4 linked regions of the Saccharomyces cerevisiae S288C genome follow. Changing the gene in region 1 together with any one later gene gives a genetic interaction. Each region holds a gene or a part of one and is shown in the gene's direction. Other genes may lie near its edges. The genes, in order: AUR1, VPS68, HFA1 and YBR284W.

Region 1 (3,560 bases):
CAGGAAGCTCATAAAGTTTTGCCTCAATTGTTTCGGGAACGATGAATTTGCTAAATAAGGTAGAGAACATTTTTTCTGCATTATACCTCAGTTTGTGTTCTTTTTCGCTTTCAAAATCTTTCCTAGTAGGCATTTCGTTTTCGGCAGTATCAGACTTGGCGGCATCAATGCTTTTATTCCTTTTTTTTGACCCATTGGATTTCTTCACCTGTTTGGATTTGATATGAATTCCTTTGGCACTATCGGGGCTCCTTTTTCGTTTCCTAGGGCTTTCCTCATCAAGAAAGACATCTGCATCATTGTCATCATGGTCATTTACGGGCTTGTAAACATCATCATGGTAATCTTCATCCTCTGAAACCTCTGCCTCCTTTGACGTTTCCAAATGTGCATACAATGATGGGTCGCACAATTCACAGTAGTACTTAGAATCTTCACTCATTAGCCCATCTATGGTGTCTTTACCATCAGTCATACATTTAATATGCTGCCAAGTGTCACAGCCATCGCACTGTACCATGTCGCCATGCGAATATTCTGCAGCATCGTAGTTTTCATTGTTCGCCCCACACAGACATCTAACATAGCCCTCATCCGCTTCGTCTACTTCGTCTGTTCTTACATTTTCAGTATCTTTCCTTGGCTCCTGAGAAGAATCAGACTTCTTATTCTTCTCTATGGCTGAATCAACTTTCTTTTTAGTTCTTTTTTTCTTTGGTGCTTCAGTCTCCTCCTGTAACAAATACTCAATATATTTATTCTGACCCTTATTAGATCTTGAAGAAGTACGGACAGACATAATAAATTTAAACTAAATAAAAGCTAAAAGTAAAAGAGAACCTAGGATAATCGATAGCTCCCTGTGTATAGAACAAGTCAAAATACTAAGATCTCGTCAACCTATCCTCTTTCATTGCAAGCCTTTTGGCCAAACTGCAGTCTGGGCATCCCTTTGCATGTCTTGTGAAATAGTATCCATCTCTCCCCAGCTCCCAGAAATGATATGAAAAGTTATTCGTGAAGAGTGATCCTAAAACTGAAAAAAGGAAAAAACAAAAATGAGCTAAAAAAACCACAACAAAAGAATATCAACTTCATTGCTTGGCGGGTCATCGCTTTTTTATTTCTTTCTGTCAAAGAATAATAAAGTGCCCATCAGTGTTCATATTTGTTACAAAGTGGTTTTCTGATTTGGTACTACTGCAGAGGCGTATTTTTTGCTTCAGTTACCATAGCGTAAGAACACTAGCGACTTTTGTTCGTGAACCAACAGAGTAGGATTTCTACTGCTACATCTCTTAGGTAGTTGGTTAGTCCGATCGCTCACTTTTGGTTGTTGTTAAGTACTTCATAAGTTTATCCTTTTCCTTTTTCACACTGAGCTACTTTGGGTATAGCTTTTGGCCCAAGGATCTTTGAATTTTCTCCAAAAGTACTTTATTTTATATCCTACAGGTTGCGGTTTTCATATTTTAAAAAGCTTTTAATCATTCCTTTGCGTATGGCAAACCCTTTTTCGAGATGGTTTCTATCAGAGAGACCTCCAAACTGCCATGTAGCCGATTTAGAAACAAGTTTAGATCCCCATCAAACGTTGTTGAAGGTGCAAAAATACAAACCCGCTTTAAGCGACTGGGTGCATTACATCTTCTTGGGATCCATCATGCTGTTTGTGTTCATTACTAATCCCGCACCTTGGATCTTCAAGATCCTTTTTTATTGTTTCTTGGGCACTTTATTCATCATTCCAGCTACGTCACAGTTTTTCTTCAATGCCTTGCCCATCCTAACATGGGTGGCGCTGTATTTCACTTCATCGTACTTTCCAGATGACCGCAGGCCTCCTATTACTGTCAAAGTGTTACCAGCGGTGGAAACAATTTTATACGGCGACAATTTAAGTGATATTCTTGCAACATCGACGAATTCCTTTTTGGACATTTTAGCATGGTTACCGTACGGACTATTTCATTTTGGGGCCCCATTTGTCGTTGCTGCCATCTTATTCGTATTTGGTCCACCAACTGTTTTGCAAGGTTATGCTTTTGCATTTGGTTATATGAACCTGTTTGGTGTTATCATGCAAAATGTCTTTCCAGCCGCTCCCCCATGGTATAAAATTCTCTATGGATTGCAATCAGCCAACTATGATATGCATGGCTCGCCTGGTGGATTAGCTAGAATTGATAAGCTACTCGGTATTAATATGTATACTACAGCTTTTTCAAATTCCTCCGTCATTTTCGGTGCTTTTCCTTCACTGCATTCCGGGTGTGCTACTATGGAAGCCCTGTTTTTCTGTTATTGTTTTCCAAAATTGAAGCCCTTGTTTATTGCTTATGTTTGCTGGTTATGGTGGTCAACTATGTATCTGACACACCATTATTTTGTAGACCTTATGGCAGGTTCTGTGCTGTCATACGTTATTTTCCAGTACACAAAGTACACACATTTACCAATTGTAGATACATCTCTTTTTTGCAGATGGTCATACACTTCAATTGAGAAATACGATATATCAAAGAGTGATCCATTGGCTGCAGATTCAAACGATATCGAAAGTGTCCCTTTGTCCAACTTGGAACTTGACTTTGATCTTAATATGACTGATGAACCCAGTGTAAGCCCTTCGTTATTTGATGGATCTACTTCTGTTTCTCGTTCGTCCGCCACGTCTATAACGTCACTAGGTGTAAAGAGGGCTTAATGAGTATTTTATCTGCAATTACGGATACGGTTGGTCTTATGTAGATACATATAAATATATATCTTTTTCTTTCTTTTTCTTAGTCAGGATTGTCGTTTAGCATAATATACATGTAGTTTATTTAATCACATACCACTGATTATCTTTAGAATTTTATAAATTTTTGAAATAAATGGGTGGCTTTTAATGGTGTCTATGTTAAGTGAGGCTTTTAGAATGCTCTTCCTGCTTTGTTTATTATATGTGTATGAAAGATATGTATGTATTTACATGTGTTTGTAGCGTCCCCAGTCAAAACCTGTGCGCTATACCTAAATGGATTGATAATCTTCATTCACTAATTCTAAAATAGACTTCTTCCCCAAAGAACGGTGTAACGATGAGGCTCTATCCAGCTGCTTATCTAAATCAACTTTAACGATGGATGATCTTATGACACGGGGATCTTTCTTTAAAGTTCTTAGAATTTCAGACTGTACCGCAGCTGATGAATCAAACAGCATTAAAAAGTGATATGCTCGAAAATGTTTTTCCTGGTCTTTCTTCATTATTTTAGGAAGATACCTTATGCCCATGGGTACAATGTCCCTCACCACACCTCTGTTTTGAATAATCAGTTTCCCGATTGTGGAAGACAATTCTTTTGCTTCCAACTTTGGCGCATTGGAGTTGGTTATGCGAACAAGTCCGATCAGCTCATAAAGCATCTTAGTGAAAAGGGTGGTTTTGCGTTATTCTTTCCTCTGTTGAAGCTTTTCTATTTTGTTTAAGCTGAACTAGTGGGAGTTTCCATTAAAAGGCTAAAGTCTTGTTGAAACTTTTCCGGGTTAGATGATAACTGCGAAAAGATAGA
Region 2 (6,871 bases), on another chromosome or scaffold:
AAAAACTGATTTTAATTGATTAATTTCAAAATGTCAGCGTAGGTTCACCTAGACTTGTTTTATAGCTCCATTCAACTGGCGGTAGACACAACTAAAGCCAAAAATTGCCTAAAAATTTCAGTACTCTGGCAGCATCTACTCATTTAATTGCCGTAATACATGGGACTCAATGATCCTTAATATGCTAAATGCTACCCCTCCTTTTTTCTTTTTTATTCCTCATAAAATTGCAAATATCGCAAGCACGTTTTTACTCAGCCCGTCCGCTTTGAGATACAAAAACGATATCTGAAATTAAAATTTTCTCTGGAACATGGTCCATCGAACTAATTATGCATAATAACGTACGTTCCTATCCTATGAACACTTTTCTTTTTCTGGATAAACTGACTTAACAGTAGAAAACGTAGTGTGCAAGGCCATCCTTCAATATAGACTCAAAATTAGAAAGAGTGCCCTGATTAGTTGAGTTTTTCCTTCTATAAGCAAGAAAAATATCATCCTGACAAGAGACAGGTATTATATAAAATATTTCTACATGGAAGTATACTGTTAGTTGAACATAAATTCAACAAAAGGATACCATTACTTCTTCTCAAAGATCATCGAATATTGCTAGAAAGCGTAAAAGCATTTTACCATGTCATCATCCTCAAGTTCATCAGAGTCATCGCCTAATTTATCGCGGTCAAACTCACTGGCTAACACGATGGTTTCCATGAAAACAGAAGACCATACGGGATTGTACGACCATAGGCAGCACCCTGACTCACTGCCGGTCCGTCACCAACCTCCAACATTGAAGAACAAGGAAATTGCTAAGTCCACTAAACCTTCTATTCCTAAGGAGCAGAAGAGTGCAACGAGATACAACAGCCATGTGGATGTGGGAAGCGTACCCAGTAGGGGCCGCATGGATTTTGAAGATGAAGGGCAGGGTATGGATGAAACGGTTGCTCATCATCAATTGAGGGCATCTGCCATTTTAACTTCTAACGCGAGGCCTTCCAGACTAGCCCACTCCATGCCACATCAAAGGCAGCTTTATGTGGAAAGTAATATACACACACCACCAAAGGATGTAGGTGTAAAGAGAGACTATACTATGTCATCTTCTACTGCATCATCAGGTAACAAATCCAAGCTGAGCGCATCTTCCTCGGCAAGTCCTATTACGAAGGTTAGAAAATCTTCGCTGGTCAGTCCTGTTCTTGAGATCCCACACGAATCGAAATCTGATACACACTCCAAGCTGGCTAAACCCAAGAAGAGGACATATTCTACCACATCTGCGCATTCATCTATCAATCCCGCAGTTTTACTGACGAAAAGCACATCCCAAAAATCGGATGCAGATGATGATACATTGGAAAGAAAACCAGTACGTATGAATACTAGAGCTTCTTTTGATAGTGACGTATCACAGGCGTCGAGAGATTCTCAAGAGACGGAAGAAGATGTTTGTTTCCCTATGCCACCACAATTGCATACCAGAGTTAACGGTATAGATTTCGATGAACTGGAAGAGTACGCTCAGTTTGCAAACGCGGAGAAGAGTCAATTTTTGGCAAGTCTGCAAGTGCCCAACGAACAGAAGTACAGTAACGTTTCTCAGGATATCGGGTTTACCAGCTCTACTTCCACTTCGGGATCATCAGCTGCCCTAAAATATACACCAAGAGTTTCGCAGACTGGTGAAAAGAGCGAGAGTACCAATGAAACAGAAATCCATGAAAAGAAGGAAGACGAGCATGAGAAAATCAAGCCTAGTTTACACCCTGGTATATCTTTCGGTAAAAATAAAGTTGAAGGGGAAGAGAATGAAAACATTCCATCCAATGACCCGGCGTATTGCTCTTACCAGGGTACAGACTTTCAAATTCCTAATAGATTTTCTTTTTTCTGTTCCGAATCTGATGAAACCGTTCATGCTAGTGATATCCCTTCCTTAGTGTCTGAGGGACAAACATTCTATGAATTATTCAGGGGAGGTGAGCCAACATGGTGGTTAGATTGTAGTTGTCCAACTGATGATGAAATGCGTTGCATAGCAAAGGCGTTTGGTATCCATCCATTGACTGCAGAAGATATCAGAATGCAAGAAACACGTGAAAAGGTGGAACTTTTCAAATCGTATTACTTCGTTTGTTTCCATACCTTTGAAAATGATAAAGAATCAGAGGATTTCCTGGAACCTATTAACGTTTACATTGTTGTCTGTAGGTCAGGTGTTTTAACATTCCATTTTGGCCCAATATCTCATTGTGCTAATGTCAGAAGGCGTGTAAGACAGTTACGTGACTATGTCAATGTCAATTCAGATTGGTTATGTTATGCTTTAATCGATGACATTACTGATAGTTTCGCTCCTGTAATTCAATCTATTGAATATGAAGCAGATGCAATCGAAGATTCTGTGTTCATGGCTCGTGACATGGATTTTGCAGCAATGTTACAAAGAATTGGTGAAAGTAGGCGTAAGACAATGACGTTGATGAGACTTCTTAGTGGTAAGGCTGATGTTATCAAAATGTTTGCCAAAAGATGCCAAGATGAAGCTAATGGTATTGGACCGGCACTAACATCTCAAATAAATATTGCTAACTTACAGGCAAGGCAGGATAACGCCAGTCATATCAAAAATAATAGTTCGACAACTGTACCAAATAATTATGCGCCCACCACATCACAACCGAGGGGGGATATCGCCCTATACTTGGGTGATATTCAAGATCATTTGTTGACAATGTTTCAAAATTTGCTGGCGTACGAAAAAATTTTTTCTAGATCCCATACAAACTACTTAGCTCAACTGCAAGTGGAATCATTTAATTCTAATAATAAAGTGACAGAAATGTTGGGTAAAGTCACCATGATAGGTACAATGCTAGTTCCATTAAATGTTATCACTGGTCTTTTCGGTATGAATGTTAAAGTTCCGGGGGAGAATTCCAGTATCGCGTGGTGGTTTGGGATATTGGGTGTGCTGCTTTTGCTGGCCGTCCTTGGTTGGTTCTTGGCCAGCTATTGGATTAAAAGAATAGACCCTCCTGCAACACTTAACGAGGCCGCTGAAAGTGGAGCCAAATCGGTTATTTCGAGCTTCTTGCCAAAAAGAAACAAGAGATTCAATGATCGTTCCAAAAATATAAATGTAAGAGCCGGTCCTTCAAACAAATCAGTTGCAAGTCTTCCTAGTAGATATAGCCGCTACGACTGATTAGTGATGTGATAAAGATAGAAGATTTAAGTCACAGAGGCGTGCATCTACGATTTTGGCGTTTCACATTTTTTACACTTAAATTTTAGTGATCTAGCCGTGACCTTGGCAGCAGTTTCCAAAATCATTCCATGACCATGTCATGCTTAAGAACGTTAGACCCAGAACAAGTGGACCTGTATTCTAACTCTTCACTCTTGGGCAAAGATAATAGTATTATCTTTTACCCCATTTTTTGTATGTTTTTTCGTTTATTGAGTTTGGCGTTTCCTATTTAGAAATAGTACAATCCGGTCAATCATTCGATAGTGAAATATATATATTTAACTAGGAAAATTAGTAAAACCTCATTTAAAGATCATTCACCTTGATATATACTACTATTGACCTTTTGTTAATGACCATTTTCGTAAAAATGAACTGCGATTCTCTTCTGGAATTTGTTACCCTACCTTATTCACTAAATCAGAAATAATAATGTGCAGCGCCCCTTTCATAAAGAAGGCAAGTATAGGGCATATAGTTAAAGGTCAGAACTCTTTATCCCCAACTACAAGATCAATTAGAAAATCACATCATCATGGAGGCAGATGATCATGTTAGCTTATTTCGCTTCCCCTTCAAGATTCCCACCTTTCGTGGTATAAGAAAAGGTGGGGTCTATCTTTCAGGTGCTCTCTATGCTCTAGGCTTTTGGATATTTCTAGACGCAGTGCTCTATTCTAGATATTCCAATGCATCAGATGTTCATGTTACGTTCATTGACTGGATTCCTTTTCTTTGCAGCACACTGGGAACATTGATTGTGAATTCTATTGAAAAGAATAGATTATTGCAGGGAGCTTTATCGTCAGATGGTGGTGCCTTCGGTAGTGGTGTAGGCGATTTAGATTCAAGCATGGCATGGCAAGCTCGAACCGTTTTATTTTTTGGCTTTGCTTTATTAGCTGGTGGGCTATCAGGCTCCATTGTCGTGTTGATCATCAAATTTTTAGTCAAGGATTACAATACCTATCCAACTTTGGGGATGGGAGTAAACAATGTGTTGGGGAATGTATGCATATTATTGAGTTGCGTTGTTTTATGGATAGCCCAAAATGTTGAAGATGAATATTCATATTCTTTGACGCTCTAAGTTAAGTTGACCAATATTTTCGAGGCCAATTAAGGCGATCTGATTTAGATAAAAAACGTATATATGTATTTATCAACACTTTTTCGAAAACAAAAAGATTTTTAGATAGGAGTATGTACATTCCAATATATTTGTAATGTTTCACATAAAAGGACAGTCTGAGAAAAAATGCAAGTAATGTGGTAAGAAGGAAACATAAGATGACGGCAAATGCAAAAATGAGGTAAGAATCAGCAACTAATCCAGAGATGGCACAATCAAGTTGTAATACTCTCCAAGAGCCCTTTTCTCCGATGCACTAAAATTAAAGAGGTCTGGTAGGTGAACCGGCATACTCGAACCTCTTGGCAAAAAATAGGTTTCATTTCTTAACGCGTCAAAAAATTCGTGAGCCATCAATTGTCTAGCATCGCACCTTTCAGTGGCATCATACGTCAACACCTTTAGCAAGAATTCCACATCAAAAAATTCTATAGAGGGAAACCAATGCATAAACTTCTTGAATTTTTGGTCATTTAAGCTATCCTGTAACTCTTGAGAATTTTTTATAGAACTTTTAGGAAAGCGGCCTAATAGTTTAGCTATCTCCTCCAGTTGTGAGTTAGCGCTATCGCCTTTAAAAAGTGGCTGGCCTTTTATCATTTCGCCTATTATACAACCAAGCGACCATATATCTATTTGAGTTGTATAATCCTTCGAATTTAGGAGAAGTTCAGGTGCTCTATAAAACCTCGAGCAAAAATAGGTCTTCAATTCTGTATTATCATCCAGTCGCTGTGCCGAGCCAAAGTCACACACTTTAGCAATACCGCTACTTGGTATAATCAATATATTGCTCGGTTTCAGATCGCCATGGCATATACTCATGGAATGTAAGGTCAGAAGTGCTCGAAGTATTTGGAATGTGTACAGCTTGATATGTTTTGTAGGCATCTTAGAACCATTGTCAAAATATTCATGAATTTCAGAACTTAAGGTTTGAGGAATGTATTCCATAACAAAGTTTTTCTGATATAAGTGCCCACCGTCCTTGGTAGTACAGTGGCTCTCGAAGAAGAACTCTAAAGTAACCAGATTTGGATGTCTGATATTCTGTAAGATCTCCAATTCCAAAGATTGTACTTTGGGAGATTTCACTACTCTTTTTATGGCATAAGGTCCTAGCCATTCAATACTATTGCTCGACAGAATGGACTGTGTCACAGTTCCAAACGAGCCGTGGCCTATCCGTTTCCCTTCCCTGACGTACATTTTGCTCTTTTGTCTGTTTTTAATCGATACGATGTCATCGATAAAGTAGTGTTCATCCTCCAATTTTGTCATTCTATTGGGGTTGCTCCCGAAAACGTTATTCACTTTAAGCATTAGGTATGTTAGTGCTAAAAGCAAAATGTATGTAGTATTTTCTTTTTTTTTGTTTGTTTTTTAGTGTCCTCATCGATGTACGTACTGTATCAACACAACGAAGAACGACACCTCTTTATAAACCCTAAGCTTGCTATTTGAGAGCAAGAGATCTTTACGTAAACAGATAGGGTCACACAGACTATACGAAAACCTGTCAATATAATCTATTCGGATAAGATTATCAACCCCTCCCTGCAAGATTTTTTATTGTTATTATTACAGTTTTTAAACTGGTAGCAGAGCTATCCGGTAAACATGTACTAATCAGTCTAACACCCCGGAGGAGGCTTATCATTACATATTCTTGTCTCGGCGTTCTTTAAGTTTCTTATCTTGTATGCCCGATATAGCAACCTTGTTGGTACCAATCTAACGGTTTCCGTACTTTGCAATGAAGAGATGAGGAGGCATGGGTCACTTATTTAATATGTACGGGTGTTTACATGGAGTTGCTTTCTTTTTTTGTCTCAGCAGTCATTGTGCGCCAAAAAAAGAGAAAACCGTGAGCCGAAGTCCACGCTCTGGAGTTAGGCTCTCCCATTACGGAGAGAAGCATTTCCTCAGCCTGGGAGCCCCGTTGGAACAGTCAGGCTAAACTGGGCCTTCCTACCCACTGCTTGCTGTTTCTCACTGGACGCACAAGGGGATTTTCTTTCTACCTTCGGCTTGCCTCACTGCGTTGGGGCTTCCCAATGCAACTTCGTTCGTATGCATACAATCTTTTAGATATTATCTTTTAAAATTATTTTAAAACAATTTTAAATGTATCTCATATGCTTTTCTTCTGCTGTTGAAAAGGCTAAACAAAGAAGATCAATAAGATAAAATGGCTCCATCTGGTATGTGAACTGCAATATTAATAGCACGAGAAAATTGAGAGGAAGATAGATGGGAACTAGTAGAGTTGATATTGATGAGATACGAAAACCACACGTAAATAAACTATCCGACGACAAGAATAGTGCATTAAGGACTTGATTAAGATATGGTGAGCAACGTAATTATCGGGCTCAACAGTTTATTAGCAATCGTTTTGATAGAAGCGTTGATGCTGTGGAAGTTGTTCTTTTTACTACCAACAGCCATTAACAAATCCATTAGAGTGTTCG
Region 3 (11,703 bases), on another chromosome or scaffold:
GCATATGAAATTGTTTTTGAAACTTTATCTACAACCGAATTCAGAAAAATTTTGGAGTCATTGACTTGTTGTTCTTTAGACAATTGTAAATAGCCCTCTTGTATATTGAAGAATTGAGTAGTCAAATGGTTTGCTCTCTGCGAAACCGATATCGTTACTACTTCATGCATTTTTTATTCTTGTCTGCCAATTATATATGTAATTTTAACAATTAACCCTCTTCTTCCAAGGTTTTAATTCATCGCATCGATTATATTTTGTTCCATTCGAAATTTTCCATTTTAAGTTTGGCGAAGCTTTTCACGTTTTCATTCAGAAATAATGATGTCGAACATCAAAAAAAAAAATTATCAGGTTACACATCTAAAAAGTTGACTTATTTACAAACTAATTCGCGCGAAAGGTTGTGGCTATGGGTTCGCAATTAGGATCTGGGAGTTGAACATTTTCCAAGTCAGGTTTTAAGCCCTTTACAGTAATTTCGTCGTGAAATATTTTCAAAAATCTGCATAAGGGTTCTGCGTACCACCTTCTGCCGGATCTGTCTTTGAACCATCCAACATGCCCCCCCGTCGAAGTTTCTAGAAGCAAAGTGTATGGATTGGATTTTATTTGGTCTATAGGAAGATCACCTCCGACAATTGGGTCATCCTGAGCATGCAAAGCTATAAAAGGAGTTCTGATCCCGGGTATTCTTTTATATGATGAAGCATTCTTGTAATACTCCTCTGCATTTTTATATCCAAACATTGGGCCTGTCAACAAGTTATCAAATTGCCTCACAGTGCGAATCTTTTTTAAATGCTTCTCGATAACATCTTTGAAATCAGGGTTTTCTTCCAGAGTAGAGAGATGGTTTCGAACCATGCGTAGTAAGTTGTGACCCAAAGCAGGTGAATAAAATCGTGACCCCATTGGTGTACTGTTAATAAAATATGCAGAGTTGTACAGGTCAAATGGATTACTCACGGAAATAGCACATTCGATTTTAGTACGATCTGACTCTTCTCCCAAGTAATTTGTCATTATAGATGCGCCTAACGAAAATCCCATCATATAAAACTTTCTATTCGGAAATCTTTTCCTCAAGTCATTAACACAATATCTTATATCATTGGTCCAACCACCGTTGTATAATAGCGGCGTTGTAATTGCAGAATAACAACATCCTCTAGCATTAAACACGCATGCTTCAAAGTCATACTTCGTGGTGATTTCATGAACAATTGCCCTCACGTAGCTTTCCCTCGAACCCCCTGTTAATCCATGGAGAATAATAAGCATAGGCTTAGCATCGTCTGAGTTCAATTTAGGATCATCAGGGGAATAGTACGAATATCTTCGTTTCAAGTTTCCGTTAAATACCGGTTGACTTGTCGGCACGTATTCTTTTTCCACTTTTCTTCTTTTGGTACTTCTACCATTTACAGCAAAATCCACAGTCCCTTCTCCCCCATGTGGGTATTTGATTATCATTCTTTTATATTGAACTTTGTATATATTGTCAAAGTGTCTAAAGGAACCATATGCAGTTTGTAAATGGCCATTGACCAGTAAACCATATAAAGTGTCAGTAGCACCGTCAGCTAATTCAGGAACTTTAGTATCTATTAGCTCAGGGATGGTGATCTCTTTATTTTCATTCTCTCGTTTATCGGTGGACTTGAATGCAATAGGATCCTCAGGGACCTCTTGATGAACAATCAAAAAATTAGGTAACAATTCTTTTAGACGCATATCGTCTCTGGAAGTTTACCAGCGTTTGTATAATACAGTTTTAAAATAACAAAGTAGTTGGTTTTTATCGAACTTCAAATAATTGAGACCCTTTTAAGATCCACAATACTTTTCGGGGTTAGGTAAGAAGACCCGTAAAAAAAAAAAAACGTAAACGATGCTGTACAATTAACAAATTTTTCAGGAAATAGAAGAGGTAAAAATATTGATATACGAAGTTGAGGAGCGCCAATGGTTAGCTCACTGGCATCAAATATAATTCTAGCCCTTGTGGTAGTCCTGATGACACTGCTAAGGCAAAATAAGCCGTTGCAGAGGTGGTTTGTATCATATGTTGAAAAGCTATTATCAAGAAAATCAAATCTGGCCCAAAAAGTCAGCGTTTTATCGCCCTCCTTAAAATTGGTTGATGTTGAGAAATCAATATCTGCCGATCAATCGAATCTTTCTAAAATTAATTATCAGATTCCCACTCTTCCTGATCTTACGGGGAATTTAATCCGTTTACATGAGTATCGAGCAAGAGGAGAAGGCTATAATGGCCTTTTATTTCGGAGAGCAAGACAATTAAATGGAATTTCAGAAGATCAGTTGCAAAAATTAGGCTACTTCACCAAATTAATGAAAAATAATGAGGGTATCCGAGAAAACGCAAGAGTTATTGACAAGATAATTGAGTTCACTTTAGGGAAATTGATTCATTCCAACGAACACGATGAAGAATTTACAGAGGAAATTGAAAAGATATGCGCGGAACACGGCTATAAGATTAAAGATGGTCACCTTATTCAATTGAATCCTGACTTCGTATTTCCAATAGTTTCGTCTCGAGGCAGCCAAAGTGTGGTCCATGAAGCATTAGCACATTTGTGTCGTGATTTCAGCTCTTACTATAGTGTGGAAAGAGATCCTTTACAAAATTTTATCATTAGTAGAATCAACCATCATGTGATTAGTGCCGGGGACATGAAAGAGAAAATTCTTATCGTGACCCCAGGGGCTGGTGTGGGTGGCCTATCCCATACTCTTGCCACCACTTTCCCCAAAATACAGGTGGACTCCATCGAATTATCAGCCTTGATGTACATATGTAACCTATTTGCACTCGAATATAAGCATGACGTTAAGATACGTCCTTTTGTACAACAATATTCATGCCAGACAGTGTTTGATAATCAGTTGAGAAGTTTATCGGCAGATTTGAGCAAAGTTGGCCACCGCAGTAATCTGGACCCACTATGGGGGGACTTCACACGATATTCTCCCATTTCCAAAGACTATGATAAAATTATCATTTGTAGCGCATATTTCATAGATACCGCGGAAAATATGTTTGAATATCTATCCAGTATTGAAGCACTAAAGAAATACTGTAAAGAGCTGCATTGGGTCAATGTAGGTCCATTAAAGTATGGCACCAAACCCTTGGTCCAATTTACAGGAGATGAATTAAGTCGGCTGCGTAAAATTCGCGGGTGGAAGGACCTTGTGGAGGAATATGAAGTTGATAGCTCAAAGGGATTGAATGGCTATTTAACTGATTATGAGTCAATGTATCAAGGATACTATGGTCTGCTTAAATTTCATTCTGTCTTCGAAAGCTGAATTGATACTACGAAAAATTTTTTTTTGTTTCTCTTTCTATCTTTATTACATAAAACTTCATACACAGTTAAGATTAAAAACAACTAATAAATAATGCCTATCGCAAATTAGCTTATGAAGTCCATGGTAAATTCGTGTTTCCTGGCAATAATAGATCGTCAATTTGTTGCTTTGTGGTAGTTTTATTTTCAAATAATTGGAATACTAGGGATTTGATTTTAAGATCTTTATTCAAATTTTTTGCGCTTAACAAACAGCAGCCAGTCCCACCCAAGTCTGTTTCAAATGTCTCGTAACTAAAATCATCTTGCAATTTCTTTTTGAAGCTGTCAATTTGCTCTTGAGTAATGTCTCTTCGTAACAAAGTCAAAGAGCAACCGCCGCCACCAGCACCGGTAAGTTTTGTGGAGCCAATTCTCAAATCATCGCTCAGATTTTTAATAAGTTCTAATCCAGGATGAGAAACACCGATTGAGACAAGCAGTCCATGATTTATTCTTATCAATTCCAATAGTTGTTCATACAGTTCATTATTAGTTTCTACAGCCTCGTCATCGGTGCCTTTACATTTACTTAACTTAGTCATGATCTCTAAGCCTTGTAGGGCACATTCACCCATGGCATCTAGAATTGGCTTCATAACTTCAGGAAATTTCTCGGTGACCAACACACGAACGCGAGCAACAAGATCTTTTGTAGACCTTGGAATTCTAGTATAGGTTAGGATCATTGGAATGGCTGGGAAATCATCTAAGAACTTAAAATTGTTTGTGTTTATTGTTCCATTATGTGAGTCTTTTTCAAATAGCAGGGCATTACCATAAGTGGCCACAGCGTTATCTATTCCTGAAGGGGTACCGTGAATACACTTTTCACCTATGAAGGCCCATTGATTCACTATATGCTTATCGTTTTCTGACAGCTTTTCCAAGTCATTAGATCCTATTAACCCCCCCAAGTAGGCCATAGCTAAGGCCAGTGATACAGAAATAGAGGCGCTTGAGCCCAACCCAGCACCGATGGGTAAAGTAGACTTTAAAGAAAACTTAATATTCTTGGCATGGGGGCATAGGCAAACAAACATATACAGGAAACAAAACGCTGCATGGTAGTGGAAGGATTCGGATAGTTGAGCTAACAACGGATCCAAAAGACTAACGAGTTCCTGAGACAAGCCATCGGTGGCTTGTTGAGCCTTGGCCAATTTTTGGGAGTTTACTTGATCCTCGGTGATGGCATTGAAATCATTGATGGACCACTTATGATTAAAGCTAATGTCCGGGAAGTCCAATTCAATAGTATCTGGTGCAGATGACTCGCTTATTAGCAGGTAGGTTCTCAACGCAGACACACTAGCAGCGACGGCAGGCTTGTTGTACACAGCAGAGTGTTCACCAAAAATAATAACCTTTCCCGGTGCAGAAGTTAAGAACGGTAATGACATATTGACAGTTTTCTATACGTAGATATAAATTTGCAAGTTAGGACTAAGAAGCGCACCAGCTAACCAGGAAGTAATATCATGGCTAACTAACCTTTATAGGCATATCGTTGTATCGTTCTTCGATACCCTGTCGAAGATTTCAGTGCGACAGCCAAACGAGGCCCGAAAATTGTCAGTACAATTACAACCGATAAAATACACGTTGAGACAAAACTAGCACAAAACGCCTCTTTAAACATAAATGTGTACGCATTCTGAAAGTGAGATAGAGTACAAGGCTATCGCTAGCTTTCCACGGGAGAAGTAGTAGGAACCTCTCTTTTTATTGCTTATGACAGTAATAATAGCATCATTCATCAATGTTTCCGTTAGGGTAACTAAAATGGGTGGGCGGCAGATGACAAGAAAAGATGAATAATGAAGAATGATAAAGAAGAAGTCATCTTGGGTAGAAAGGGAAGACAATTACACACGGCCAAAGCTGGGGGGCTCGCCGGATACATTCTCACTTTTACATTACCATATTCACAATTACTTGCATTCGAATAGGACAGTACAAGCTCGCGTTATATTTGGATCCTTATCGATTCTATAATATAACGGGCAGCCAGATAGTACGGTTGAAAGGACAGCGCCCTGAATACAGAAAACGCATTTTTGCCCATTCGTATAGGCATTCATCTCGAATAGGTTTGAATTTTCCATCTAGAAGAAGGTATTCCAATTATGTGGATCGAGGCAATATTCATAAACATACTCGATTACCGCCCCAGTTCATAGGGCTAAATACTGTGGAAAGTGCCCAACCTTCAATATTAAGAGATTTTGTTGATTTACGTGGTGGACATACTGTTATTTCAAAGATCTTAATAGCAAACAATGGTATTGCTGCGGTGAAAGAAATGAGATCTATAAGAAAATGGGCGTACGAGACGTTCAATGATGAAAAAATCATTCAATTCGTGGTAATGGCGACACCTGATGATTTACACGCAAATTCGGAGTATATTAGAATGGCAGACCAATATGTGCAGGTACCAGGGGGTACCAACAACAACAATTACGCCAACATAGACTTAATACTGGACGTGGCAGAGCAAACGGATGTGGATGCGGTCTGGGCTGGATGGGGCCATGCTTCTGAAAATCCGTGTCTTCCTGAGCTGTTAGCTAGTTCACAAAGGAAAATACTATTCATTGGTCCTCCTGGACGCGCTATGAGATCATTGGGTGACAAGATTTCTTCCACTATTGTAGCACAAAGCGCTAAAATCCCGTGTATCCCTTGGTCTGGTTCACATATAGACACTATCCATATCGATAACAAGACGAACTTTGTATCTGTGCCGGATGATGTATATGTAAGGGGATGTTGTTCCTCACCTGAAGATGCTTTAGAAAAGGCTAAATTAATAGGATTTCCTGTAATGATTAAGGCATCCGAAGGTGGTGGAGGTAAGGGCATTAGGCGAGTAGATAATGAGGATGATTTTATTGCATTATATCGCCAAGCAGTGAATGAGACACCTGGGTCGCCTATGTTTGTTATGAAAGTTGTCACTGATGCTCGTCACTTAGAGGTACAGTTATTAGCTGACCAATATGGCACTAACATTACATTGTTTGGGAGAGACTGTTCCATACAAAGGCGGCACCAAAAGATTATAGAAGAGGCACCAGTGACAATAACCAAGCCTGAAACGTTTCAAAGGATGGAACGCGCAGCAATTCGTCTAGGTGAATTGGTAGGTTATGTTTCTGCGGGCACTGTCGAATACTTATATTCACCAAAAGATGATAAATTTTACTTTTTAGAACTGAATCCGAGACTACAAGTAGAGCATCCAACGACAGAAATGATATCTGGCGTAAACCTTCCTGCCACTCAACTGCAAATCGCCATGGGCATTCCTATGCACATGATAAGTGATATCAGAAAACTTTATGGTTTAGATCCAACGGGAACTTCGTATATTGATTTTAAAAATTTAAAGAGACCCTCGCCAAAAGGCCATTGTATTTCATGCAGGATCACTTCAGAAGATCCTAATGAAGGTTTCAAGCCCTCCACTGGGAAAATACATGAGCTCAATTTTCGTTCTTCTTCCAATGTTTGGGGTTACTTCTCAGTAGGAAATAATGGTGCTATTCACTCATTTTCAGATTCCCAATTTGGGCACATTTTTGCTGTAGGAAACGATAGGCAAGATGCAAAGCAAAACATGGTTTTAGCTCTAAAAGATTTTTCCATCCGAGGAGAATTCAAAACCCCCATAGAGTACCTGATAGAGCTATTAGAAACTCGGGACTTTGAGAGTAATAACATATCGACTGGTTGGTTAGATGATTTGATTTTGAAAAATTTATCTTCCGATAGCAAACTAGATCCAACGCTCGCTATTATCTGTGGTGCCGCAATGAAAGCATACGTTTTCACAGAAAAGGTGAGGAATAAGTATTTGGAATTATTGCGGAGGGGCCAAGTTCCACCTAAAGATTTTCTTAAAACGAAGTTTCCTGTTGACTTCATTTTCGATAATAATAGATACTTGTTCAATGTTGCTCAATCATCTGAAGAACAATTTATTCTTTCTATCAATAAGTCTCAATGTGAAGTTAATGTTCAAAAATTGTCCAGTGACTGCTTGTTGATCTCCGTTGACGGTAAATGCCATACAGTTTATTGGAAGGACGATATCAGAGGTACAAGACTTTCGATAGACTCCAATACCATATTTTTAGAAGCTGAACTCAATCCCACTCAAGTGATCTCTCCAACTCCGGGGAAATTGGTGAAATATTTGGTCCGAAGTGGTGATCACGTTTTTGCTGGACAGCAATATGCAGAAATAGAAATAATGAAAATGCAGATGCCACTAGTAGCGAAAAGTGATGGTGTAATTGAGTTACTAAGACAGCCCGGTTCCATAATTGAGGCTGGTGATGTCATCGCAAAATTGACTTTGGATTCGCCGTCCAAAGCTAACGAATCGTCTTTATACCGCGGAGAATTACCTGTTTTAGGTCCACCGCTAATAGAGGGTAGCCGACCAAACCATAAGCTCAGAGTCTTAATAAATAGGTTAGAAAATATTCTCAATGGATATCATGAAAACTCTGGAATAGAAACTACTCTAAAAGAGTTGATAAAAATATTGAGAGATGGTAGGCTTCCTTATTCAGAATGGGATTCCCAAATTTCTACGGTACGCAATAGACTACCAAGGCAATTGAATGAGGGGCTGGGAAATCTAGTCAAGAAATCTGTTTCTTTTCCTGCAAAGGAACTGCACAAATTAATGAAGCGCTACTTGGAAGAAAATACAAATGATCATGTAGTTTATGTTGCCTTACAGCCACTTCTTAAAATTAGTGAAAGGTATAGCGAAGGTTTAGCTAATCACGAATGTGAAATTTTTTTAAAGTTGATTAAAAAGTACTATGCTGTTGAGAAAATTTTTGAAAATCATGATATACATGAAGAAAGAAACTTACTAAATCTGCGGAGGAAAGACCTTACAAACTTGAAAAAAATTTTGTGCATAAGTTTATCGCATGCTAACGTAGTCGCAAAGAACAAGTTAGTAACTGCAATATTGCATGAATACGAGCCATTGTGCCAGGATTCCTCTAAGATGTCTTTAAAATTCAGGGCTGTTATACATGATTTGGCAAGTTTGGAATCTAAGTGGGCTAAAGAGGTTGCTGTAAAGGCAAGATCAGTGCTACTCAGAGGGATTTTCCCTCCCATAAAGAAAAGAAAAGAGCATATTAAAACTCTCCTGCAATTGCACATAAAGGATACTGGTGCCGAAAACATTCACAGCAGGAACATATATTCCTGTATGAGGGATTTTGGTAATTTAATACATTCAAATCTGATACAACTTCAGGATTTGTTCTTTTTTTTTGGCCATCAAGATACGGCTCTTTCCAGTATAGCATCTGAAATTTATGCAAGGTATGCCTACGGCAATTATCAATTAAAAAGTATTAAGATTCATAAAGGAGCGCCTGATTTACTAATGTCATGGCAATTCAGCTCATTAAGAAATTATTTAGTCAATTCTGATGGTGAGAGTGATGAGTTTACAAAACTTTCTAAACCTCCCTCAACATCAGGTAAGAGCTCAGCAAATAGTTTTGGTCTTCTTGTCAACATGCGTGCGCTTGAATCTCTGGAAAAGACATTAGACGAGGTATACGAACAAATTCATATTCCTGAGGAAAGACTTTCCAGCGGAGAGAACTCTCTTATTGTTAATATTTTATCTCCTATTCGTTACAGAAGTGAAAATGATCTAATTAAAACTTTAAAAATTAAACTTCATGAAAATGAGAGAGGTCTATCCAAGCTCAAGGTTAATCGTATTACATTTGCATTTATCGCCGCGAATGCGCCCGCTGTTAAATTTTACTCCTTTGATGGAACTACGTACGATGAAATCTCTCAAATAAGAAATATGGATCCATCCTATGAAGCACCGTTAGAGTTAGGAAAAATGTCGAACTATAAAATCAGATCACTACCTACATACGATAGTAGTATACGCATTTTTGAAGGTATTAGCAAATTTACGCCGCTAGATAAAAGGTTCTTTGTCAGGAAAATCATAAATTCCTTCATGTATAATGATCAAAAAACAACCGAAGAAAACTTGAAAGCGGAAATCAATGCTCAAGTGGTTTATATGTTAGAACATCTAGGAGCAGTTGACATCTCAAATTCAGACTTGAATCATATTTTTTTAAGTTTCAATACAGTTCTTAACATACCAGTACATCGTCTCGAGGAAATTGTGAGTACAATTCTAAAGACTCACGAAACCAGATTGTTTCAAGAAAGAATCACAGATGTAGAAATTTGCATCTCTGTTGAGTGCCTAGAAACAAAGAAGCCAGCCCCGCTTAGATTACTTATTTCTAATAAATCTGGGTATGTGGTAAAAATTGAGACATATTACGAAAAGATAGGGAAAAATGGGAATCTGATTTTGGAACCGTGTAGTGAGCAGAGCCATTATAGCCAGAAATCTCTCTCTCTTCCTTACTCGGTCAAGGATTGGCTACAACCTAAAAGGTACAAAGCTCAATTCATGGGTACAACATATGTGTACGATTTCCCAGGTCTGTTTCATCAAGCTGCAATCCAACAGTGGAAAAGGTATTTTCCAAAACATAAGCTGAATGACAGTTTTTTTAGTTGGGTTGAATTGATAGAACAAAACGGTAATTTAATAAAAGTAAACAGGGAGCCAGGCCTTAATAATATAGGGATGGTTGCTTTTGAGATTATGGTTCAGACACCTGAATATCCTGAAGGGCGTAACATGATCGTGATTTCTAATGATATTACCTACAATATTGGATCTTTTGGACCGAGAGAAGATTTGTTTTTTGATAGGGTCACAAATTATGCAAGAGAGAGAGGGATCCCGAGGATATACTTGGCGGCGAATTCAGGAGCTAAATTGGGTATAGCCGAAGAGCTGATCCCTCTATTTCGTGTAGCATGGAATGACCCCTCTGATCCAACAAAGGGTTTCCAGTACTTATACTTAGCTCCAAAAGACATGCAGCTACTGAAAGATTCTGGGAAAGGAAATTCGGTTGTTGTTGAACACAAGATGGTATACGGTGAAGAGAGATATATTATTAAAGCAATAGTCGGATTCGAAGAGGGTTTAGGTGTTGAATGTTTACAGGGCTCGGGTTTAATTGCTGGTGCCACTTCGAAAGCGTATAGAGACATTTTCACTATTACTGCTGTTACTTGTCGGTCCGTTGGTATAGGTTCCTATCTGGTCAGACTAGGACAACGTACTATTCAGGTGGAGGATAAGCCTATCATACTGACGGGTGCATCGGCGATTAATAAAGTTTTGGGTACCGATATCTATACATCTAACCTACAAATTGGCGGAACCCAAATCATGTATAAAAACGGAATAGCGCATTTAACAGCCAGTAATGATATGAAAGCCATCGAAAAAATAATGACATGGTTATCATATGTCCCGGCGAAAAGAGATATGAGTCCTCCACTTCTTGAAACTATGGATAGATGGGATAGGGATGTAGACTTCAAACCTGCCAAGCAAGTGCCATATGAGGCAAGGTGGTTGATAGAGGGTAAATGGGACTCAAATAACAACTTCCAGTCAGGCCTATTTGATAAGGATTCGTTTTTTGAGACATTATCTGGATGGGCCAAAGGTGTAATAGTTGGAAGAGCACGTCTTGGAGGTATTCCCGTGGGTGTTATTGCGGTAGAAACTAAGACTATCGAAGAAATAATCCCCGCTGACCCAGCTAATCTGGATTCTTCAGAGTTTTCCGTTAAAGAAGCAGGACAGGTGTGGTATCCAAATTCCGCGTTCAAAACAGCTCAAACTATAAATGATTTTAACTATGGTGAGCAATTACCATTGATTATCTTAGCCAATTGGAGGGGATTTTCTGGCGGTCAAAGGGATATGTACAATGAAGTACTAAAGTACGGGTCTTTTATTGTTGACGCTCTGGTTGACTACAAACAACCCATACTGATATACATTCCGCCCTTTGGTGAATTAAGGGGCGGATCATGGGTTGTTATAGATCCAACTATTAATCCTGAACAAATGGAAATGTATGCCGATGTTGAATCTAGGGGAGGTGTGTTAGAACCTGACGGAGTAGTTAGCATAAAATACCGTAAGGAGAAAATGATAGAGACGATGATTCGATTAGACTCCACATATGGACATTTGAGAAGAACGTTGACAGAAAAAAAGTTATCTTTGGAAAAACAAAATGATCTTACGAAGAGATTGAAAATAAGAGAGAGACAGTTGATACCAATTTACAATCAAATCAGCATACAGTTTGCAGATTTACATGATAGATCGACTAGGATGCTAGTTAAAGGAGTAATC
Region 4 (8,403 bases), on another chromosome or scaffold:
TTGCCAAAACTATAATAGTAGTTGTCAAGTTTGGTAGATAGTCTCTGTTGAATGCAGAGATGATGCCGCCAATAAATGTCTTGTGCTTAGATCTTAAACCTTGAATCAAATTGATTAGGGCACCTTGGGCTTCGGTTTGGTCGTCCTCGCCAACTTTAATTTGAGAAACACCAAAAGTATCAGCCACCAAGTTAGTGGCGATTACCACAGTGTTGATTATCATAGCTCCAGAAGAAAATCCAAATCCTTTATCGATGACTTCAGCTAACAAAGTGGTGAATATGCCAGCACCGACCAATTGAAAGTTGATCAACCCGATCTGTACCACAGATAAATCATCACCAAAATAACCTGCAAATATGAAAATGTTGGTCAAAATCACATACTGAACAATGGCAAAAACTTTTGTTAAGCTTTGAAATAATTCTCTATCACTTTGGATCTTGAAATTAACTTTAATTACTTTCAAACCGGCTAATAATTGTAAGATTAACCCACTAGAAATGTTGGGAAAAAGGCCAAATTCTAGCAAGGTTCTTGGTTCACACCCAAATACACCTCTTAGAAAATAAATGGGGTCATTAACATTAGGTGTGGTAGCTTTGGGCAAACCAACAAGTGGGAATTGTGCAAAAAGGTAAATTAACCCTGCAAAAATAGTATAGACAATCTTGTCATCAAATGGTAATTTTTCAAAAGGTAACTCAACTTCCGGTAAAATCGGTAGGATAGGCTTAACGATATCAATTAGACGAAAACCAGACATACTAAAACAATGGAGAGTGGCGGGGGCAAATGTGCTAAAAAATGCGTACGAGTAATGGATTCAATTCAATAAAGCTATGAAAAACCACCCAACCCAAGCAAAGAAAAAAAAAAGAGCAAGCTTTTCTGCAGTGTATTCGATCTTACTTTTATTAACTTTTACTAATTCAATGAAGGACCAAATGACATCTATCAAGACTGTGGTAGCTAGCGAACAAAGGATAACTATTTTGTCGGTGTAAAACAAACCCTGCTTCCGCTTTGCTCTCTACCCGACATTTTTTTTTTCACTTTTTCAGCTCTTTTCTTTGCCACGAAAGCGTGTAAAGTGATACAGATCCTACCGTGTCTAATGATATCGTTAGCGCCCCTCTACATGGTTGCATTAAGTACAGACAGAGGAATGATTAAACCTAAGACGAGGATAGTCCTTATGCATTATGAAAAGCAATTCAGGGCAGTTGAAGTCACATATATGGCTGCAAATCGAATATAACTTGTAATGTAGTTCAAAGTGGCCGGTAGCAATAAAAAGAAAGGTATCTCAACAACTTTATGTTTCACGTTATGAAAGAATATCGTTAACAGTCTCAACAGTGTCTGTTCTTATAATTTGGCATGAGTGTATGATGGTTGTTCTCTGTTGTTTCGGTACTATCAACGGTTATTATCATTGGACGCAAAAATATCGTTGGCGGCTAAATACGGGGGTGGCAAAGAGTTTGCGCCCGCGTTCAGTGGATACAAACAGTATAAGTAGGACAGGCGACATCTTTAGTAAATAGTACAGGAAAAGGAGGACTTATCAGGGTATCACACAAACAATGGTACAGAACAATGAATCGGTTTTTTTCGTTGAATGCGACTCTTATAAGGAGAGCCCTTCCACTTCACCAATACGCTTGGACGACCTGGATGGAAATGACGCTGTGTCGGATCAGGGTTTAGCTTTCGACGGGGACGTAGGAATTACATCACAAGCTCGAGTAAGAAATCCTCGAGCTCAAATCTTCGAGGATAGTAATACTGACGTAGTATTGCATTTGGATGATCTTGATATGGTCCCACTAAATACGAAGTTCGATATGCAGATGGAGATGGGTTCACCCATGGCGATGCCGGCAGAAACGCCACCTCCTGTCGAACCTTTAAAAACAAAAGATCTAGCATATTCATCCTTGGCTCACCTTCCTAGCTATTTCTTTGAGCAAACACATTTCCGCATAGACCGCAAATGCCTGTTGGAAATGTCTAAGTTAAGGCGAAATTATCTAACTATAAGTAAACAAGATGCTTTGTCATGTCCGCAGCTTCATTCAAGAGTGGCTGGGGGTTATCTTAAACCTGTAAAAGAAAAATTATTTGGAATACGTCACTTTCTTGATCTAGAGGAAAGTAATACTGTAAACCTCCTCCAGGATGGTAATTATATGACGGAATTGTTCAACAGTCAGATTAATATCCCCACTTTTAAAGAATTTAGGGAAGATTTTGAATGGTGCTTGAAAATTATAAGAGATAGAAGCCTATCAAGGTTTAGCGAAAAAAGATTACAATATCTTGTAAATAAGTTTCCAGTTTTTCAACACCTACATTCCAAGGAAGAAATGAGACAGAGCAAAAAGGTGCCACACAAGGATTTTTACAACTGTAGAAAGATTGATCTGAATCTTCTGTTAAGCGGCTGTTTCTCACAGTGGCAATTGACTGAGTTTATTTGGACCAAGTTGAGAAAAGAACCGGACAGGGTTATCCATCAAGCTTTTAATGGTAGTCATATAACCTTGAGCCAATTATTCAAAGTGAATTTCGAGGAGACCGGTCAGTTCTTCAATGGGTTGAAAATTATTGACGATTCATTTTTGGAGTGGTATAAAGTTATTTATCTCGCAAAATATCATTTGGTTAACGATGAAATGGAAATACACACAGGCTCACACGGTAAGCAGCTTCGATACTATTTGATTGCGAAAACATTTTTGGAGTTTGATAACTATATTAATGGTGAATACTTAGCGGAACTACTGAAAACGTTTTTAATAAAACCGCAAGAGGAGTCGAAATATCAGTTATGTCAACTCTCCGTGGACTTCCAATTTTATCTGCATTACGATAATTCCGATGTGGACAATTGGTGGATGGTCTTTGCCAATTGGCTGAACCACTATAATATATTTTCTAACAATATTCGCTGGAATATTCGCATTTCTAGAATTTATCCAGAACTGTATCATACTGGCAAGGTGAAGAATTTTCAGGAGTATTTAAATCTAATCTTCAAACCACTTTTCAATGCCGAAAATTATCTACACAAGTCATTAGGACCTATTCTTTTGAAATTTCTTTCTCAAGTATCTTCGATTGATCTATGTATTCAAGATACGGACAACTATATTTGGAAAAACTTCACAGCAGTTAGTTGCTTGCCAAAAGATTGGACATCTGGCGGTGATAATCCAACCATTTCACAATATATGTATTACGTCTACGTCAACCTAACAAAATTGAACCATATCCGCCAAGCCCTTCATCAAAATACCTTCACTTTGAGAAGTTCATGTTCTCCCACCTCAATGAATCGAACTTCACAGTTTAGTAATACACTGAACTTCACAGAACATACGGAAGCTATTTTAAACAATTTCTTGCTCGCCTGTGGAGGGTTTCTAAATGCAGAAAATCTCTGGAATGCACCACCATCACTGGTGTATCTTTTCTATCTAAGTCAAATTCCCATGGTTGTGGCGCCTTTGAATTCCATAGTAGATTCAAAGCCTACAATGCTGCAAGAACAAGCCCCGACGGGGCTTGTCCTAGAGCCCTCAAAGCCTTATAAGAAGAACCCTTTCATGAAGTTTTTTGAAATGGGGTTCAAGATATCGCTGAGCTCAGAATCTATCCTCTACAACAATTCGTATACGAAAGAACCCATTATAGAAGAGTATAGTGTAGCGGCTAGTATATACCGTTTACATTCAGCAGATTTATGCGAACTTCTAAGAAACAGTGTCATAACCAGTGGATTTTCAAGTACCCTAAAGAACAAATGGCTCGGCGTTTCCTTAGCCAGCCATGACTACTTCGTGGAAAACACTGGGTTTGTAGACAAGTGGTATGATTGTAAACCAAATACAAGTTTAGAGCATAACGTTCCGATCATCAGACGTCAATATCGCAGTAGCACTCTCGCAGGGGAGTGGCGACTCATAATTGCGTGAATTCGCTCATGTTTCTTCGAGGGGCGCATATTGTGACGCTAATATTATGTACCGCCCTTCCCCACACACACAAAAAAAAAAGGTTAAGGATAAAGATAAGTAAACTAATGGAATATATAAACAAATAAGTAAGTAGATACTGTAAATAGAACACACGTTTTTTAATTTATTTTTTTTTTTACATATCTTAATTTAATATAAATCAAAAAGCCCAAGCCTCAAACAAGAGTCTTATCACTCCATTTATAACATAACAATTCGAAATCTCTAAGCTCGCTTATAGTTGACAATGACCATATTTTCTAGGTTCTCATATTTTGATAGTCTATTCTCCTTTAAAAAGCAAGAGCCTTCCCCCATTGAAATAATCTATTGCAATGAAAACAATGGTTTCATAAACATAAAATCCTTAGAAAGCCCCACTGACGATAGCATGGAGGCGGACATTTCAGATAGAGAAATGGCTACAATCCTGACTAGAAACAGAAACAATTTGGGTAAGGTTGCCATTGATAAGAAAGGCGTTAATAATCATTGCATAGATTTGAATGAGCTGAAAAAGGGCCTTGTCGCCAATGAACACAAATTGGATAACGATAACTCAACACGGCACCAGAACACATATTCACCAGAGGATTCCGTGGAATTTGATAGGTTCGATGATAAACAAAGCAGAATACTAAAGTGTAGCACTAGAAGGAGCTACTTGAGATACAAGAAATAAGACAATTGAGCTGCTTCATTATATATCTTGATATAATCACCTTTCTTATCGTCAGAAAGAGTGTTCTCTATGTTTTTGTGCTTCCATAAATATATAGTTCAAAAAGTAATATCATATACTATTAATAATAAAAGTTATACTGAATATATTGATTAGTTCTATTAATTACTATTGACACACTTTGAATTCCCTTAAATTAACCCTCAGGAAGAAGGGGTCCTTAGGAAAATTTTTCTTTTTTCAATATAAAAGCGAGGAACAATGGATGGGAACAAAACCATGTTCAGCCTTTCAACAATTGGTAGAAGAAGCCAAAAAAAAAAAAAAAACAGAAACGCCAACCATGCACTTTTCTTTGAAGCAATTGGCTGTCGCTGCGTTTTACGCTACCAATTTAGGCTCTGCCTATGTCATTCCTCAATTCTTCCAGGAAGCCTTTCAACAAGAAGAGCCAATTGAGAATTATCTTCCGCAATTAAACGACGATGATAGCTCTGCCGTTGCTGCCAACATTCCGAAGCCACATATTCCTTACTTCATGAAACCACATGTAGAAAGTGAAAAATTGCAAGATAAAATCAAAGTTGACGATTTGAATGCTACTGCTTGGGACCTCTACCGTTTAGCTAACTATTCTACTCCTGACTACGGTCACCCTACCCGTGTGATCGGGTCCAAGGGTCATAACAAGACTATGGAATACATATTGAATGTTTTCGATGACATGCAGGACTACTATGATGTTTCTTTGCAAGAGTTCGAAGCTTTATCCGGTAAGATCATCTCTTTCAACCTCTCTGACGCCGAAACCGGTAAAAGCTTTGCTAACACTACAGCTTTCGCACTTTCTCCACCTGTGGACGGGTTCGTAGGTAAGCTAGTCGAAATTCCTAACTTGGGATGTGAAGAGAAGGATTACGCCTCTGTAGTCCCACCAAGACACAACGAAAAGCAAATTGCCCTTATCGAAAGAGGTAAGTGTCCTTTTGGCGATAAGAGTAATTTGGCCGGTAAGTTCGGTTTCACCGCTGTGGTCATTTACGACAACGAACCTAAATCTAAAGAAGGACTACACGGTACATTAGGCGAACCTACCAAGCACACTGTCGCCACCGTCGGTGTTCCATATAAAGTTGGTAAAAAATTGATTGCCAATATTGCATTGAACATCGATTATTCATTATATTTTGCCATGGACTCTTATGTAGAATTTATCAAGACCCAGAACATCATTGCCGACACAAAACACGGTGATCCTGATAATATTGTTGCCCTTGGTGCTCATTCAGACTCTGTTGAGGAGGGCCCAGGTATCAACGACGATGGTTCCGGTACTATTTCCCTATTGAACGTCGCTAAGCAATTGACCCATTTCAAGATCAATAACAAGGTCCGTTTTGCATGGTGGGCTGCTGAAGAAGAAGGTTTGCTAGGCTCTAACTTCTACGCTTATAACTTGACCAAAGAAGAAAACTCCAAGATCAGAGTATTTATGGACTATGACATGATGGCTTCTCCAAACTATGAATACGAAATTTATGATGCGAACAACAAGGAGAACCCTAAGGGGTCTGAAGAGTTGAAAAACCTGTACGTAGACTACTACAAGGCTCATCACTTGAACTACACTTTGGTCCCATTTGACGGTAGATCCGATTATGTCGGGTTTATCAACAACGGAATTCCAGCCGGTGGTATTGCCACTGGTGCCGAAAAGAATAACGTCAACAACGGAAAGGTCTTAGACAGATGCTACCATCAATTATGTGATGATGTCTCTAACTTATCCTGGGACGCATTCATTACCAACACCAAGTTGATTGCTCACTCTGTGGCCACCTATGCTGACTCTTTCGAGGGTTTCCCAAAAAGAGAAACCCAAAAGCACAAAGAGGTGGACATATTGAATGCTCAACAACCACAATTTAAGTACAGGGCCGACTTCTTGATTATTTAAGTGTACTGTTCACATCAAGTATTTCTGTATAATTATCTAAAAGAAAATAAAAACCCTCTTTTTTTTAACTGCACGTGCATCAAGGGGATCACAGCCTCCTTATCAAAGTGAAAAAAAGGTAGAAAAAAAAACTGAAATTGTGATATAAAAGTTTAAACAGGAAATTATTGTAAATTGAACAATATGTGTGAAGCCCGTTTTTGGTTTGTTATTCCCAACTAACCATACCCTCATAGATTACTCTGCATTTCTACTATATGGTTGAAACATTTAGTTTTGCTCATTTGGCTTATTTGGTCTTTGAGTCCGTTTTACAGGTAGTCATTATCGCACTCGCTGGTTTTTGGAGCGCTAGTTCTGGTCTGCTGCCCAAACAAAGTCAAAAAATCATTTCTCTGTTGAACGTGGACCTTTTTACACCATGTCTTATTTTTAGTAAGTTGGCCAAATCCCTGTCCATGGCCAAAATCTTTGAAATAGCCATCATTCCTATTTTTTTTGGTTTGACTACTGGTATTTCATTTATTTCCGGAAAGATAATGAGCCGTATCCTAGACTTGGATAAAGATGAAACTAATTTTGTGGTGGCAAACTCTGTCTTTGGTAACAGTAACTCTCTACCTGTGTCCTTGACATTATCTTTGGCTTACACTCTGCCCAACTTAACTTGGGACCAAATTCCTAATGATAACAGAGATAACGTTGCATCAAGGGGTATTTTATACTTGCTGATCTTTCAACAAATCGGACAAATGCTGAGGTGGAGCTGGGGTTACAATAAGCTAATGAAGTGGTCTGGAGAGAACACTCAGCATATGCCACCTTCTCAAGTGCAATCTTTGTTGGAAAGGACGCCCAACATTGATAACGAGGAACTTGTCAATGAGGAACAAGAGGAACAAGAATTGCTTGAAGAAGAAAATAACAGAATGAACTCATCTTTTTTGAGTTCGAGTTCCATCGGTGATAAGATTTGGCAAAAATCATGCACTGTATTTGAGAGAATCAGAGCGAACCTTAATCCTCCGTTATATTCCATGATTTTTGCTGTTGTTGTGGCAGCAATTGGTCCGTTGCAGAGAGAGCTATTTATGGAAGATGGGTTTATCAATAACACATTTGCCGAGGCTGTTACGCAGCTGGGTTCAGTTTCTATCCCACTGATCCTGGTTGTCCTCGGTTCTAACTTATATCCTTCTGCGGAAGTCTTCCCTAAGACGGTTCACCATAGCAAGTTATTGATCGGCTCCATCATCGGAAGAATGATTTTACCTTCTTGCTTCCTTTTGCCTATTATTGCTATTGCTGTTAAGTACATAAACGTGAGTATTTTGGACGATCCAATTTTCCTTGTTGTCGGTTTTCTTTTGACTGTTTCCCCTCCTGCCATTCAATTAACTCAAATCACTCAACTGAATGAATTTTTCGAGGCAGAAATGGCCGATATTCTATTTTGGGGGTACGCTGTCTTAAGTTTGCCTGTAAGTATTATTGTTGTCTCAGGTGCAATTTACGTTTTACAGTGGGCTAACCCAACTTAATACAACTTTTCATTCCTTTGTATAGAGTCTTCATGAATGAAAGTCTTATTCATTTTTTTTTTTTTTTAGCATAGTTTTATATTCCTTTTTTATTCCAAGACTTATATTCTCATTATATTCTATTTAGTTTCGCATGGAATTTCAAGTACACATATAACTACAGCCTTACTTGAAAATTGCCTGTCTGGGTCTTATACT

Evidence for each region.
Region 2: mutations in AUR1 (region 1) and VPS68 together harm fitness more than expected from each alone (negative genetic interaction), as found in Saccharomyces cerevisiae (one large-scale study listed by BioGRID).
Region 3: mutations in AUR1 (region 1) and HFA1 together harm fitness more than expected from each alone (negative genetic interaction), as found in Saccharomyces cerevisiae (one large-scale study listed by BioGRID).
Region 4: mutations in AUR1 (region 1) and YBR284W together harm fitness less than expected from each alone (positive genetic interaction), as found in Saccharomyces cerevisiae (one large-scale study listed by BioGRID).

Annotation. Positions count from the first base shown.
Region 1 is NC_001143.9:434,079-437,638, forward strand, and holds AUR1 (inositol phosphorylceramide synthase), read left to right. Parts: upstream 1-1,501; coding exon 1,502-2,707; downstream 2,708-3,560. Other genes in the region: BYE1 (Bye1p), read right to left, coding at 1-799; mitochondrial 37S ribosomal protein bS6m MRP17, read right to left, coding at 3,019-3,414. UniProt on the Saccharomyces cerevisiae protein: Catalytic component of the inositol phosphorylceramide synthase which catalyzes the addition of a phosphorylinositol group onto ceramide to form inositol phosphorylceramide, an essential step in sphingolipid biosynthesis.
Region 2 is NC_001147.6:73,760-80,630, forward strand, and holds VPS68 (Vps68p), read left to right. Parts: upstream 1-3,800; coding exon 3,801-4,355; downstream 4,356-6,871. Other genes in the region: Mg(2+) transporter ALR1, read left to right, coding at 641-3,220; serine/threonine protein kinase YGK3, read right to left, coding at 4,593-5,720; 60S ribosomal protein uL23 RPL25, read left to right, coding at 6,589-6,601. UniProt on the Saccharomyces cerevisiae protein: Involved in vacuolar protein sorting.
Region 3 is NC_001145.3:677,550-689,252, reverse strand, and holds the start of HFA1 (acetyl-CoA carboxylase HFA1), read left to right. Parts: upstream 1-5,688; coding exon 5,689-11,703. Other genes in the region: DML1 (Dml1p), read right to left, coding at 1-170; MGL2 (putative carboxylic ester hydrolase), read right to left, coding at 388-1,737; YMR209C (uncharacterized protein), read left to right, coding at 1,969-3,342; ERG12 (mevalonate kinase), read right to left, coding at 3,455-4,786. UniProt on the Saccharomyces cerevisiae protein: Catalyzes the rate-limiting reaction in the mitochondrial fatty acid synthesis (FAS) type II pathway. Responsible for the production of the mitochondrial malonyl-CoA, used for the biosynthesis of the cofactor lipoic acid.
Region 4 is NC_001134.8:769,650-778,052, forward strand, and holds YBR284W (metallo-dependent hydrolase superfamily protein), read left to right. Parts: upstream 1-1,589; coding exon 1,590-3,983; downstream 3,984-8,403. Other genes in the region: SSH1 (Ssh1p), read right to left, coding at 1-766; HAB1 (Hab1p), read left to right, coding at 4,273-4,707; APE3 (aminopeptidase Y), read left to right, coding at 5,051-6,664; YBR287W (uncharacterized protein), read left to right, coding at 6,922-8,205; APM3 (Apm3p), read right to left, coding at 8,363-8,403.